Linked DNA regions of Oreochromis niloticus. The protein of the gene in region 1 interacts with the protein of each later gene in a pairwise test. Links are inferred from orthologs where the notes say so. Each region holds a gene or a part of one and is shown in the gene's direction. Other genes may lie near its edges.

Region 1 (7,487 bases):
AGGGGATCAAACTACCAACCAGCTAGCAGACGACCTATCTACTGAGGCTGGATAGCAGCTCCAAAACCTTCTATATACTCTTCAGTGTTCACATTGTCTTCACACAACAGCAAGTTACCCATGCCAACTGAATGCGCCCTCTCCTCTTTAGCCTGTGACTGATGGACCGCTCTCAGAACTAAGCCAGTCCATTTGGCTGAACTGAGTCCAGAGTAGGCAGCAGTGCTTCTGGATCTTGCTCATATACTGTATATTAGTTTTATTAATCTTGAGAACCCTGTTTCTTTTTTAAAAACTGTAACAGAAATAGGGTTCTCTTTGGGAAAAGTCAAAGAAATTTGAATTTTTATTTGCCGTCCCTTGGTAATTTGAGGCATTTCTCTGTTGCCACAGACGGATTTAGGATAACTGACAAAAAAAAGGAAAGAAAAAAAAAGGGACCAAGGGTACAGACTGTTCCAAAACAGGAGAAAAGGGAAAGAAAAACAAGCATAGAGCGAGGTTAGGAGAGTGCCAGTTAGCAAGGATGAGAAGGGGGCAAGGAATTTAAGTCCCAAAGTTATTTTTAAACTAAGGACAGGAACTCTACTGTTGACTCCCCAAACACAGAATCATAGATCAGTATAGGAGCAGAGCTGGGAAAAGAAGACAGGGAGCTTATATACACAAACACATAGACACACACACATACACACACGCTTCATGCATCTGTCAAGTGCGTCATCCCATATGTGCGTGTACATCCAGGCACATGCATCCTCTAAGCACAGGCCTGCCACCGTTTGGCATACTTTATGGTCTCGCAGCCACACTCACACCAGGATGTGTACGCGTCGTCCCGTAAACACGGCGCACAGCTCGGTTTAAAGATAGTTGCACGCTCAAACTTTTGGTGACAAATGAGAAAGCGTTCGTTTGAACTTCTTTTGGTGCCATGTCATTGCTGCATATGTGTATACAGCACATGTACCATGCATCTGATCTAACTGACCATAATTAAGAAATGGTGTATAGGCAGAGAATCCCAATTACAGGCCGGCGGCGAGAGCGTTTAAAGTTTGATGGCTCGTCAGCTGTAGAATATGTGACTGTTCACAGAGGATACGGTCTCACACTAACTGAGATAAACAGAAGGTCATCAAGTGGAATAATCTTTGTGGTGCAATCTGCTCAATAACAGGCTTTATACTGTGTGCTTTTCCAGGCTGTTATTATCAAGTAAAGACATTGGGATTTATGGGAAGCGAGCTGGGACAAAACTCACACACAAAGGCGGGAGGGGAGCGTTCTGTGTACGCAAAGGGCACACACCCTGCCATTCATGTGTGCTTTGTCAGGGGGCTGTTATGAAAGCCCGGCTCCATCGGCGGCTGTTGTATTCCCTCGACTGCTGGCTTGTGCAGATAGGAGAGGGAATAAACAGCCACGAGAGGAGGAGAATGGTCAGGTGCACCGTCACTGGGTCCACGGCACAGTCCACTGAAGGTCACAGGAATATCACTTCCCTCCTGACCTTTAGCCCACCGAGGTCAAACTTAGCACACACTCCTGGTTTTTCTGAAGTGGAGGAGGGTATCACAGGAAACTGGGTCTCTTTTACCTGTTTGTATCGTAATGATAGCACCCATCAACTACCTAAAGCAGGGGTCACGCCCTCCACTCTGGATCCTCGCACGTGCATCCTACCCCTCACCTCCAAGGTGTCACAGAAAGCAGCCTTGTTCTGGTCGTCTCCTCCTTTCTACCAGGACCCCCTCAAAAATCCCAGCAATCCCTGCAATTTCCGGTGCAATGTTTATTTGGCAGGAAGAGAGGGCTTGTGGGGTGGGTTGGGGGGGTGAAAAAAGAGCCTCACTCACAAACAGTCTGGGTTGGTTGAGAGTAAACATGTGCAGGCGGGGTGTGTGTGTGAAACGAGCGGTAAGCAGGACTGAGGCTCATGTGTTCTGGTCCTGACACACAGAGCAACGCTCTGTTTCATGCCCCAACCGCCTCAACCTGATCAACATCCCACCCCGGCTACTACGAACAGCACCCTCTGCTGGAGAAATGGACACATGACGTTAAAAGAAAACTTGAGATCAAACAAACTAAGAGCCTAAAATGTCTTTCTCTGAATAAGATATATAGGGAAAAAAAAATCCAGATCCATACATGAGCAGGGCCTCTAGTCCAGGGGTGTCAAGCATAAGGCCCTGGGGCCAGAATCGGCCCAGCAAACACTCTAACTGACAGCTTTGAAAAATAAATAGGAAGGCATCAATTTTTAACTTTTTTACTGTATATTCATTGCTTTTACAGTTTTTCCTACTGATAAAGACTTCCTCCGTGCCCATTTATTAGAAACCAAAGTAATGAAGTAAATGATAAGCAGTTAAAACACAGAAAAGTTCCTGTTTTTTATCACTATAAATGTCTACTTTTTACAATAAGTCCATAGAGGAAATAAAAAACACACCATAACTTCCTCTGCAGTTTTATACATTTATTTATCTATGATGATAGATTTCTTTTGTTTACTACAGCACTATTTCGTTATCATATAGAAAAACTGAGACAGTACTTTTGAAACTGCACTTTATGTTTTTCTAAATGTGTACTTCAACATCTTTACTGTGACAGAGAGGGCAGTTTCACATTTTCAGCCCACTTAAGATCAAAGTGGCTTCTTGTTGGTGAGTGCTACGCAGTGATGATGTCATCCATACACACTCCACAGAGGCCTACAGTTACTATAAATATCAGAATGACCCGTATATTAAATTTTACCCTTTGAGGTTTTAACATGAGACCGAGGATGATCTCAACAAACTTAAAATTTAAACAGATTTACATTCAGTTATACACTCAGAAAGCTCTGCAGGCTGGTAACAGGAACATTTATTATCAGCAGATACATTCACCCTGGGGAAAAATGTGTGTGTGGGAGACCATCAGGGCCAAGCTGGGTCTAGATTCCTGGGTGCAGTAGTTTGTAGAAAACTTCTCCCTTTCATCACATCTGTCCTGTTCCAGATGTTCTGTTGACTCACTGAGACATCATGTCAGAAACATCTGACATTGCATGATATATTTCTGCTTCTCTCCTCTCCTCTTTCTCCTCTTTTGCTGCATCTTTCCTTTGACCGCAGGCTCCTCTGATGTCTGAAGTGGGGTCACCAGTCTGGCCCACCAGACTGGTGACCCCACTGGTTGTTGTTGTTGCAGATGGACTGTCCTGATGTGCAGTTTGTCTTTGAGGGCATTCTAAAACTAGAGAAAACATTTATGTTTAAACCCCTGATCTGTGGAGATCTGAGTGCACTTCAGGCTCAATGGCATCCAGTTGTGTGGTGCTGGACTGAACCTCTGAGCACATCGCTGTTTGCACATGGTTTCCTGGCATATGTTTGACACCTGCAACTGGCTACCTGAAGCTTCAGGGATGTGTGCATTTGCAGGCAGCACGGCTCCAGAGCTGCAGAATAAAGAGTGGAGCAGTTTGTGCAGGGCTAGGCTGGCTAAGAGCCCAGGCGGTTGATGTTGCAAAACAGCGCTGGAGATCCGAGAGCTGAAGACAGCCCGGCTTTCCTGTCAGTGCTTTTGTTCAAACAGGCCCGTAGACAGATCAGTCTACATCCTTGATCTGTCTACATCCTTGATCAGATCAGGAAAACCCTCCACTGAAAGAAAAAAAGGTGTCCACCTGGAGGAAGTGTGGCTTTTGATGTGATAAAATGTGAAAAATAAAGGAAGGTGAAGCATGGACGTGTCCGCTATATAAAACTAAAGGAATGATGATGCTTCTCAGCAGAAATGGCTCACAGGAGCAAAGCTTCTCCACAAAGGTTTTAATCTAAAACTATATTTTCCTGCTCATTGTCTCATTGTGTGGATATTTTGGGAAGCCTTGGAGAGACTTAGAGTCAGGTCTGTGTAAATAAGCCACTGGAATCTGACTGTGTACTTAGCTTAGCAGAGTGATTAGAAACAAGGGAAACCATTTGCCCATGTCTGACAGACTTCATCCAACAACACCACCATGGTGCAGTGATTTGTACTGATGTCTCACAGCAAGATGGTCTTTTTTATATGGAGTCTGCATATTCGCCCCCGGCTTACATGGGTTCTCACTGGGTACTCTAGTTTCCTCCCACAGTCCAAAGACATGCATGGATGAGGCTGGTTGGCAACTCTTGAATGGTGGCAGGGGGTGAATGGTTATCTGCCTCTCTGTGTTAGCTCTGCAATAGTACAATAGTGGAAGAAGATTGCTGGACAACACACAGTAGGGTTAGATGGGGGTTATGCACTATCTGTCTTTGAGTTCCAGCAGCAGCATTTATTTTTAAGGTCAGTAATAGACTAGCCTTTTGTTTTCATTGTACCTGTATGAATATGTAAATACATACAATACTTATATAACCTACTATAAACTACAACTAAAACTAGCTGTCAGGTTAATATAGAGTAGATAAAAGTATGCTACGCTGATAATCCAACCCTGTGCTTCCAAACCTGGCCAGCCGGTGGCGCCACTCACTGATCTCTGTCGGCTGAAAAGCCGCACGTTCCCTTTTTTTTCTGCGGCACCAAAACGGAAGCACTTCATTGGTCCGCGAGGCCAAGATCAAGACCAGCGCCGACAGAAGAAGCGAGGTAAGCTGTGAAAATGCGGGCGCGTGTTTTAATGTGTGTGACATTTGAGAACGTGTTGTTCTCAAAGTGTCCGGTTTCGGTGTTCGCGTGCTGCTTAACGCGAGGAGGCAGCGGCGGGGGAAGGTTTAGGAGGAAGAGGAGGAGAAGTAGGAGGAGGAGGACGAAGAGGGCAAACTCATACGTAACGTAGATTAATGGAGCACGCGAGCTGCCGGTAGATAAGCGGCAAACACAAGATGTTAGGCCGAGAAAACGGCTCAGAGAGCTGCAGGGGAGTGGGCCGTTCTCAGTGGGGAAATTCTGAATACTTAAAGCTTTTTATCCATCGTGGGATTAAGAAAGTGTTTCTCAACAAGGCAACATGGCTGAGTGTGTTCTGCCAATAAACTCGTTTGTTCACGTCACTCGTTATATGACGCTCACGAGCCCTAATCACGTTAATTAGCGCTGATTCTTCATTAAACAGCTCGTGCTCGAGAGCTTAAACCGTGTGAGACTAGAAGTTTTTCACTGAGTGACTCAAAACAATGTTAGCTGTGAGTGTATTATAGAGGATACTCTAAGTGATTATTTTTCCCGCACACAGCACGTGACGGTTGCAGGTTTTTTCTGCAAAAAAGGAGAAAAGATGTCATAATCATCTAAACCTGAGGTAGGGAACCCCAGGCTTCAAGGGCCGCTGTCCTGCAGGTTTTAAATGTCCTTGATCCATCACAGCTGATTTAAATGGCTAAATTACCTCCTCAACATGCCTTGAAGTTCTCCGCAGGCCTGGTAATGAATTAATCGTTTGATTCATTTGTGTTGACCCAGGGTGAGATCTAAAATCTGCAGGGGCTCTCGAGGCCTGGAGTTCCCTACCCCTGATCTAAACCCAAGTGGACCTCAGCCCTTGTTCTTGGGCCAACAGCTGAGATCCTAATGATATTTAATTAAATAATACTGAATCTAAAATCCTCCAGAAAGTAGCATTACACACGCTCTATCTACTGACTTTTTTAAAATATAATTTTCCTTAAAAGCAGTCCAAATGATTATTCCTTGACCTTTTTTCTCCAACTTGCCTGACAGATGTGTCAGTTGTGTACGAATACAAATCAGTCCAGCATTTGTTGCCTCCTATCCCATCTATCCAGACAGCTCATTTGCTTAAACCACACAGACCATTTCCAGTAGTTCCAGTTTTGGAAATGGGCAATTTGCTGACATAAGAAAAGATTACCTGGTTTAGCCCGATATTATTTATTTTATTTTTTTTACTTATGTGTTAAAAGCAAACCTATTGTGCTTTTTCTGAATTTGTTGGTGAATGCTTATATTCAACATGGCCAAAGTTTCAAATAAAAAGGTCAGTGCATATACAGGTAGTCCCCTGGGAGCCAAAACCTGAGTTCAAACAGCACTGATGACAATATGATGTCAAACAAAGCAGATCATATCACCATTCTCATGTAGAGGGGTGTGTGTGTGTGTGTGTGTGTGTGTGTGTGTGTGTGTGTGTGTGTGTGTGTGTGTGTGTGTGTGTGTGGTGGGGGGGGGGGTTAATGCAACATTGTATTGTGATATTTTGCGTGGCATTATTGCATTGATACAGGAACAGCAAATATTGATAAATGAATTAATAAATTAAAATACTATGAACAAGAAGGCTCACGTCATGAGATGATGAGCCGAGCAAACTCACATTAAATCAGCCCAGCTGATAAACTGTCAAACGCTGGTTACACTTAGCTTTACAAAGATGCCTCCTAATTCAGAGCAAGCTAATGACTCAGTCACACACGCAAAACTAGGACAGCGACCTCCTTACATCTACACCGGTGGCTTTCTGGTGATTGTACTGAATTTTTTCATGTTCTGCAACCTGGTCGTGATTAAATGGTTACCACACAACCACTTTTGATCACAAGGTGATTGCGCAGGTCACCTGATGGGAAGTAACCTTTCTGCAAACAGTTGCAGTCTGATTTGGACTGAGTGCAGTCACTTTGAGAGAGTTGAAGGTTTGGAGATAACTGTTGTCTAATATATAAATACAGATGGACTGCCAACATGTTGCAATCAGTCTGAATGAGTCTTTGTCAGCCAGCAGGGTACACCCTGGACATGTCGCCAGTCTGTCGCAGGCCTAACAAATAGACACAGACAACCATTCACGCATAAATATGATTTAGTTATTTTTTTATTACACTTTATATTTGTTTACCAGATAAACTGGGACTTTATCGACAGTTAAACACTTTATCGACAGTTTATACCAAGTGCAGCATAAGAAAAAAAGGGATCTTAAGCCTATAAAATGGATTATTTAGAATAGTAACTTATGCGAAACTACTTTTGTACAAGTCAAGAATGAAAATATGGAGCTGGAAATAAATATTGTGGGTGTCACCATGTAATTAATTTATCACTAACTATAGTCCTGGAAACTGGTGCCAGTTTGTAAAGCTCAGGCAGGGTTTAAGAGTGGATACGGGATGGGACCTATAGCGTTTTTGGATAGATTTCTTAGTATTTTTTTAAATCTTATAATCTGAAGTGTCTGAAATGCAATATTAATATTATAATAAGTAACACTTATCTTCTGTATCTTTGCCTGTTGTGCAAAGATGGCTCACAGGCTGCTGCTACGAAGACTCTGGACACTGTCTGTGAACGATATCCGCTGCCTCCCCAGGTCCACTGCCTCCGTCGCTTCCTCTTGTTATTCCACATCCCTTCAGTCCACTACAACCCGGGTGTCCTTTCTCTCCCCGTCACGAAGTCTGCCTCGCGCCCTGCCTCACACCTCCCGCCGAGAAGTCTCCTTCAATGTGCAGGACAGCGAGGACTTTACAGAGAGGGTCATC
Region 2 (7,122 bases), on another chromosome or scaffold:
CGGTGGGCAGATGGTGATTTTTCATTTTTATGTTTGTTTGTTTTTGTAACGGTATAAACAATTAAAGGTGGTGGATTAGCTAATTGGTCATGATCAACTCTGGGCTGGACCAATTACAATACATCCGTATTGAGAGGAAAAAGAACGCGATTAGTCCCGTACTTCAGCTAGAATGAAAAAAAAGACAAAGCTGGAGTTATTCTGTCTTTACGTTGCACAGCTGCCTCTTCTCCCCTCATTCTCTCTCTCTCCCTCCCTCTCCTGTTGCTACTTCAATCATGAAACCGATCAATGATTAGCTGATCGTCTTTCTTGTTTGTTTATCTCCCACTTTGCGCCAGAAAGAGGAAACCAGCGGATGTCGCGCTAAACAACAGCAGCACGTTCAAGCTTGATAAGCTGTTAGAATTTATTTAAAATTAATTTCTAGTATCAGCTGATGTTTGCTGGAGCCAGAGCTGTAAAAACTGCTGCTCATGGTATCGGTTTGGAAACATGAAGGTGATACAAATCATGCATATATACCAACGAGACAGTGTACATCACTGTCACAACAGCGTTTGTTTTAGTTCAAAGGCCTTATGGTTTTTCCTATAATACCTGGTGGTGTAGTCGGTGATTTTTTGTCAGTTGAGCTTTATATATTATGTTTAACCCGAGTGACCACCCGGTCAGCTGGTGGGTAACTATGGCGTTATTTTTGTGCCACTATTCTGAGCGCACGTAAAAAAAAAAGTTGAGCCCGTCCCATCTCGATCAAGGACAACGATGTGACCGTTTCAGGAGATGATAAAATATTTCTTAACACCCCGATAGCTTGCTGAAGAACTCGAGTTTCTTCTCCCCCCTCCATGCTGTCAGACACTTGAAAGTGACCCGCACGTGCTTCTCGGCCAATCACAGCGGTACAGACACCCAGCCTTCCGTTTCCATTAAACTCCTTCCGTTTCCACTATACTCTTTCATTCACATACATTATTCTCTTGCATACATATATTTTCTTCTGACATGTATGCATTCTCTGCTTACTTACATATATTATTTGTGAGATTAAATGCATACTGAATGCATGTAAATGAGAGCAAAATGTAGGAATGCATAAATGAAAATGCATGTATGTTAGAGTGAAAATTTGTAAATATGTACATTAAAATACATGTATAAGAGAGCACAATATTGCAATGTGTGTGTTAAATATGTGTAAACATGAGAATAAAAATATCTAAATATAAAAATTAAAATAAAACTATATGAGAGTGAAAGTATGTGTATGTGAAAGAAGAATGTATGTATGTGAGAGTGAAAATATATGTATGTGAAAGAAGAATGTATGTGTGTGAGAGGGAAAGAATGAATTTTGGCTTGTACGGCCCCTCTTAAAAAAAGCCTACCTTCTGCTAAAACACCTAGTGGATACAGTGGCATCCAGACAGTATACCGCAGCCAAGTGAGGGTTTTCCACTCTGTATTGAAACAGCCCAGCATGTAAAAGGGATACCTGAAAAAGGATGAGCGCATGTTGGTTAAGGAAAAAAAAAAGTCATGCTCCAAATAAAATGACACAAAGTTGCATCTACAGTTACACATTCTTATAAAATTATAGCTCAGATGCGACTGCAACTTCCCTGTTTCAAGGCTGAAATGTGAATAAAATCTAACAAAATCTAACTGTTCCAAACATTTGCAAAGCTCTAAATCTTATCCAATTTTAGTTTTATTTAAATACAACTGGCTAAAGCTGTACTATATATCACTAGATGACTGTTTACTGTAAGCAATAGGAAAATGCATACTTGCCTAAAAATTTCAATAGCACTCCACAGATAGAAAACAAAGAACACAACTGGCTTGTGGTGCATTTCCTCCAGACTACCAAAAATGATGAAGAGGATAAAATTCCTTCCGACCATCTAGTGCACAAAAAAAAAAAATGTGTATTGGTGCTCAATCTGTAACTTTAGAAAACTTGAGTTCGGGCAAAAAAAAAACAAAAAAACATCCCATACCTGTATAAGAGTTGGTATAACACCTGTCTTGACTACACCAAAAGCAGCATTCAGGACTTCTACTGATGCCAGGATCTGGCAGAAGAACATCACATCCGAAATTGTGTGAAATGTGTCATAGAGGGAATCTGAAAGGAGTTTTAGAACGGACATGTTTTAACCAGTTTTCTGGGAAGTAAGTGACACTTGCAGCTTCTCCTGTGTAATATATTTTCACACCTCTGCCAATGATAAACAGACGCACTGTCATGTTGACAAAGATCCATGAGAAACCAAGAAACTGGACCAGGTTGTACACAATCAAGAACACAGTTTTCAGGCTGACGAACCCTGAAACATTTCAAAGAAATTGGAAAATAGTATCAGCAGTTTTCCCTTCAAAGCCATCTGATAAAACAGAATGTTCAAGTCCAATATATTATCTGCACCCACCTTCTTCTTTTTGTCTTGAAGCCTTCAGCCTGTTCCTTTTCTCCTCCTTTTAGAAGTATTTAAAAATGAAAATAGTAGAGTCTTTAATCAATTATTTTAGTCATACTGACATTTTTTAATCTTTATCTGTGAGTGTCATTTAGTAACAACTGCCACTCTTACTCTTTTACATTACTCTTACCTTTTCTCTGATTTCCATCTCAGCGTCTGACTCGTCCAGCCAGCGATCAAAGTCCGGTGCCAGGAAGACAGGTTTACGCTCCTGGACAGTCAGCTTTTCCCACCAACCTCGCTGTATTTTGTGCACTGTAATGTTCACCTGCCGCTGTGTGGACTTGTAGCTGACCTACAGGGTCACGCAATGAGCACAAACAGGAAAACCACAGAAAGGAAAGGCAAAGATTTAAGAGCAATCTTGCTTTAAGAGCAAGTTATTCTGTCTATAGATATATTTCTGATCCCTCAAGATGAATTATTGAATTACTGAGCATACCTGTGGCTTTACTGGTAAGAGGAACTCCAAGCTGAACTTGTACTCATTTTGTCCTTTTGCACCATGCCCCTGGGCTACAAACAGGATATCACAAATGAAATTCCACAAAAATATTTTTAAAAATATGTCTTTAAACACCAAATGCAAATGAAATCCGTGAATCCATGTCACCTGAAAAGTGAAGGACATTTTCATCCACGTGGACGTCAATATTCTGCAAAAACACAGGCAAAGGATAAGCATACTTCCTCGCTAGATCAAGAATTTTTTTACTTCCTGTTAAGAGAAACCCGAAACAAAGATATTAATCTTATGTTACAATATTACCGTAACAAACTATATTCCAAAACACATAGTACAGGTAAAATAAGTGCTTAAAAAGTCTCTAACCTGAATCTTCTGTTACATGATCAGAAATAGAGTTAAGTGCTATAAAAAGAAGAAAAAAACGAGTGCTGAGAGGCCCTCCTGTAGCATGTAGTATGGGATGGTGTGATATCTATAAATGTAACAACACCTGTCCCTCACACATAACCCCGAGCAATGCTACCACCCCCACCCACCCCGCCTTCCGAGTAGTTCCAGCAGATATTTTTAGGACTTTGCACCCATGTGATTAACTGTAAACACGAATATTCTTAAAACCAACAGGTTTTAAAAACAGGTTCGAACGGGCCTCAACAGAGAGCTTTGTATGGATCAGTTATCAGATAAGGGATCTCATTTCTCATACAGTATGCAAATAGTACAGCTATCCAGCAGGATAACATTTACAGGAACCTTTCGTCTGTATTTGCATTGCTTCTCATTTACCACCAGAGGCCCAAAAACAATGTTAAAAAGAAAAAAAGTCAGAACCATACTAAAGCGTTTTGCCCGTGACAAGTAACTGCAAGATGTACTCTCACCTGAGCATCTGTGAGCTCAACTCGCAGGTAAATTTCTTCATGGCGTTGAGCCCAATAAACAAGAGGTGTGAGTGCCATTATTGCGTTTTTGATCAGTTTTTTTTTTTTTTTTTTTTTTTTTAATCGGGCGTTGCTTCAAATAAATATCAGTGAGGCAAACAACGAATGAAGGCTCCACGCTTCATGCTAGCTCCCCTGGAAAGACTTGAGCAATTACCCAGAATATTCTTCGAACGTGCTCGCTCTCCACCGATCAGTGCGGAGACGCGCTCGTGCAGGAAGCACAAACGTTAGACGTGCAATTCCCTGATTGGCTAAATGAATATTTACGGAAGTGTCACGGGAACGCGGCGCGGCAGCTTGTCTAATTTTTCTTTTGGCAGTATGCTGACAGGCAGTAAGACGACCACATGTCAAGTTTAAAAACTGATTTGTTGAAAACTTCCGGGACATTTAATGTCCTTGTTGGAGTGACAGGAAGCGTTGCAGCCTTGAAACTGCCTCTTTTGGTCTCCCAGCTTCTTGAGCTCTCCAGGGTGAGCTGCTTCATATTAATTAATGTTTGCATATCATGAATGTTTCTTTTTTTCCCCCGTACATAGTTAGCAAATAATAGCACAAGCACCTATATACATTTATTGTTTATCTAAGTGGCATAATACGCATAAGCTCACCTTTACCGCAAGATGGGGATGTTAGGCAGCATCGCTACAAACGCAGTATGTTCGAGTTATTATAGCTCTTTTATCCAGCCGCAGAAAAAAAGTCTTAGACTTAAAAACCTGAACCAAATCTGAACCAGCAATATCTGCATGTTAATTAAAAACCACAGCGGTCCTCCATGAAAATAGAGAAAACGTAAATGTTAAACGGGGGGATAATATATGACAGTGTTGGTATTAGTGTGGGAATGGTTTTGCAATACACTAAATAAAGTGTGTTAGGACTTTTGTAGTAAACAGGGTGATGAAGCTATGCGTTTGCATAGCAATGCAAATAATTTTAAATTGTTTGTGTAATAGCGAATACGTGTAGAGAGATATATTTGGTCTGACTGTCAAACTAAGAATAATTGCTTCATTTGAGTTTAACATGGGAGAATATGCATGGATGCACACTCCATGGAGCAGAGAGACGTAATGCCCCAATCAGTCAACTTAATTTTCAACCAAATTATGTGGGATCACGCATGTCACTGGCAGCAGTATTGTCTTGTAAACTTCAATTAAAGTTCTTTTTTTTAAAAATTAAACAGTCAGTTGTAGAAGAATCTTCTCTGTAACAAGTAGTATGACGTATTTATTTACTTGAGAAAGAATGAACACTTCACCTGCTCAAGCCCTGCTAATTATAAAACAAATGATGAATTAATTTGAGCATACTAGTGGTAAAGGCAATCAAATGCCTACAGTTGTTTAAAAATACTCTAAAATAATGTAAAAACTTAGAGTAAACAGAAATTCATACCAATGTAGACTTTATCTGCACTCACTGGCTACTTTGTTAGGTACACCAATTAAGCTGCTTTTTAATGCAAATATCTATTTAGCCAATCCCATGGCAGCAGCTCAAGCATTTAGGCATGTAGACATGGTCAAGATGACCTGCTTAACTTCATCTGAACATCCGAATGGCGATGAAAGGTGATTTAAGTGATTTTGAACGTGGCATGTTTGTGGGCCGCAAACAGGTTGTTCTGAGTATTTCAGGAACTGCTGATCTGCTGGTATTTTCTCACTCAGTCATCTCTAGGGTTTACAGAGAACAGCCTGAAAAAGAGAAAATGTCCAGTAAATGCCAGCTTTCTGGGTGAAAATGCCTTTGTGACGTCCACGGTTAGTGGAGAGTAATTCACAATCCCCATGTTACAACCATGGTGCTAGAGGAGTATCTCTGAATGCACAACTCATCGAACCTTAGCAAAACCCCACCCTGTGCCACACCTGTCAGCTAGAAATTGAAAAATGAGGCTACAGTTCATACAGACTCACCAAAATTGGACAGCAGAAGTTTGGAAAAATGTTCAAATGGTAGGGTGGGAAATTGGCATAAAGATCATAAAGCATGGATCCATCCTGCCATGTATCAATTGTTCAGGCTGAAGGTGGTGTTATGTGTGGGGGATATTGTCTTGGCACACTTCGGGCCTCTTAGTACATTTAAATCATCATTTAAATATTACAGCCTACCTGACAATTTTTGCTGAATATGTCTATCATTCATGACCACAGAGTACTCATCTTCTGATGGCTGCTTCCAGCAGGATAACATGCCGTAAAGCTCAACTCATGTTAAACTGGTTTGTGAACATGACAGTGAATCCATTGTACACAACTGGCTTCCAGGCATCCACAGTCATCGGATCTCAATCTAAATGGGATGTGGTGGAACAGGAAATTCATACTACTGATGTGTCTCTCCCTCCCTTTTCCCCTTCTCTATCTATCCATCTATCCATCCATCTATCCATCCATCCATCCCATAGAGTTTTTCAACTGTTCTGCACAAGTAAAATGTTGCTGTCATTTATGCTGTAGGTGGATGTACGAGTAGTCACTACAGAGCATGCCAAGCACTTCTATAATCCTGCTGAGGTCTCAGTCAAAATCTACAGTGACAAGGATGAATGGGAGGTAATAACTAACTTGAGTATGATGTTCTAATGTAGCCATTATTACACTGAAAACATATATAGCTATATATATAGAAAAGACAAATTAACATGACATATATAATCAATATGAAGGTCAGCTTGGGCTCTTGAAATGAAATAGATGAAGGAATACCATACAGTGCCATACTGAGTGAAATGAAATGTGGTATGAGTTGCCCATTATTAACTTGAAAACACTGGAGTTACTTGTGAGAATTCTGAGACATAAAAACACTGGTTTAACTTATTATGCATTCCAGACAGAAGTGAAGATGTGACTGTGTAACTGGATGCATTTCAAACAGCATGTCTCTCATTTAGCTGTGGAAACAGAGATCTGACCCCGTGCTACACATTGAGCTAAGGCGCTGGGCAGACCTACTTGTCATTGCCCCTCTTGATGCCAACACTCTTGGAAAGATTGCTAGTGGTATTTGTGATAATCTGCTGGTAAGAAGATGAAATACTAAAGATTTTGCAAATAATCATTTATTGCAGAATTTCTGTGAAATGATTTCTGATTTTATGAGCATTTGTCCTTTCAGACGTGTGTGGTAAGAGCCTGGGATACCAGTCGACCTCTACTCTTCTGCCCTGCAATGAACACAGCTATGTGGCTGCATCCTATTA

The links. The genes of interacting proteins can lie anywhere in the genome.
Region 2: the proteins of txn2 (region 1) and ppcdc interact in binary tests that used the Homo sapiens proteins (3 or more experiments, as listed by UniProt). The two-hybrid records come from large-scale screens. The link is inferred for Oreochromis niloticus from reciprocal best matches to the Homo sapiens genes TXN2 and PPCDC.

The regions. Positions count from the first base shown.
Region 1 is NC_031969.2:8,127,101-8,134,587, forward strand, and holds the start of txn2 (thioredoxin, mitochondrial), read left to right. Parts: upstream 1-4,483; 5' UTR 4,484-4,638; intron 4,639-7,247; coding exon 7,248-7,487.
Region 2 is NC_031972.2:51,780,205-51,787,326, forward strand, and holds the start of ppcdc (phosphopantothenoylcysteine decarboxylase), read left to right. Parts: upstream 1-4,107; 5' UTR 4,108-4,249; coding exon 4,250-4,375; intron 4,376-6,376; coding exon 6,377-6,472; intron 6,473-6,813; coding exon 6,814-6,942; intron 6,943-7,037; coding exon 7,038-7,122. Other genes in the region: hacd3 (very-long-chain (3R)-3-hydroxyacyl-CoA dehydratase), read right to left, coding at 1,392-1,498, 1,798-1,910, 2,007-2,134, 2,226-2,336, 2,439-2,484, 2,620-2,784, 2,932-3,005, 3,103-3,145 and 1 more. UniProt on the Homo sapiens protein: Catalyzes the decarboxylation of the cysteine moiety of 4-phosphopantothenoylcysteine to form 4'-phosphopantotheine and this reaction forms part of the biosynthesis of coenzyme A.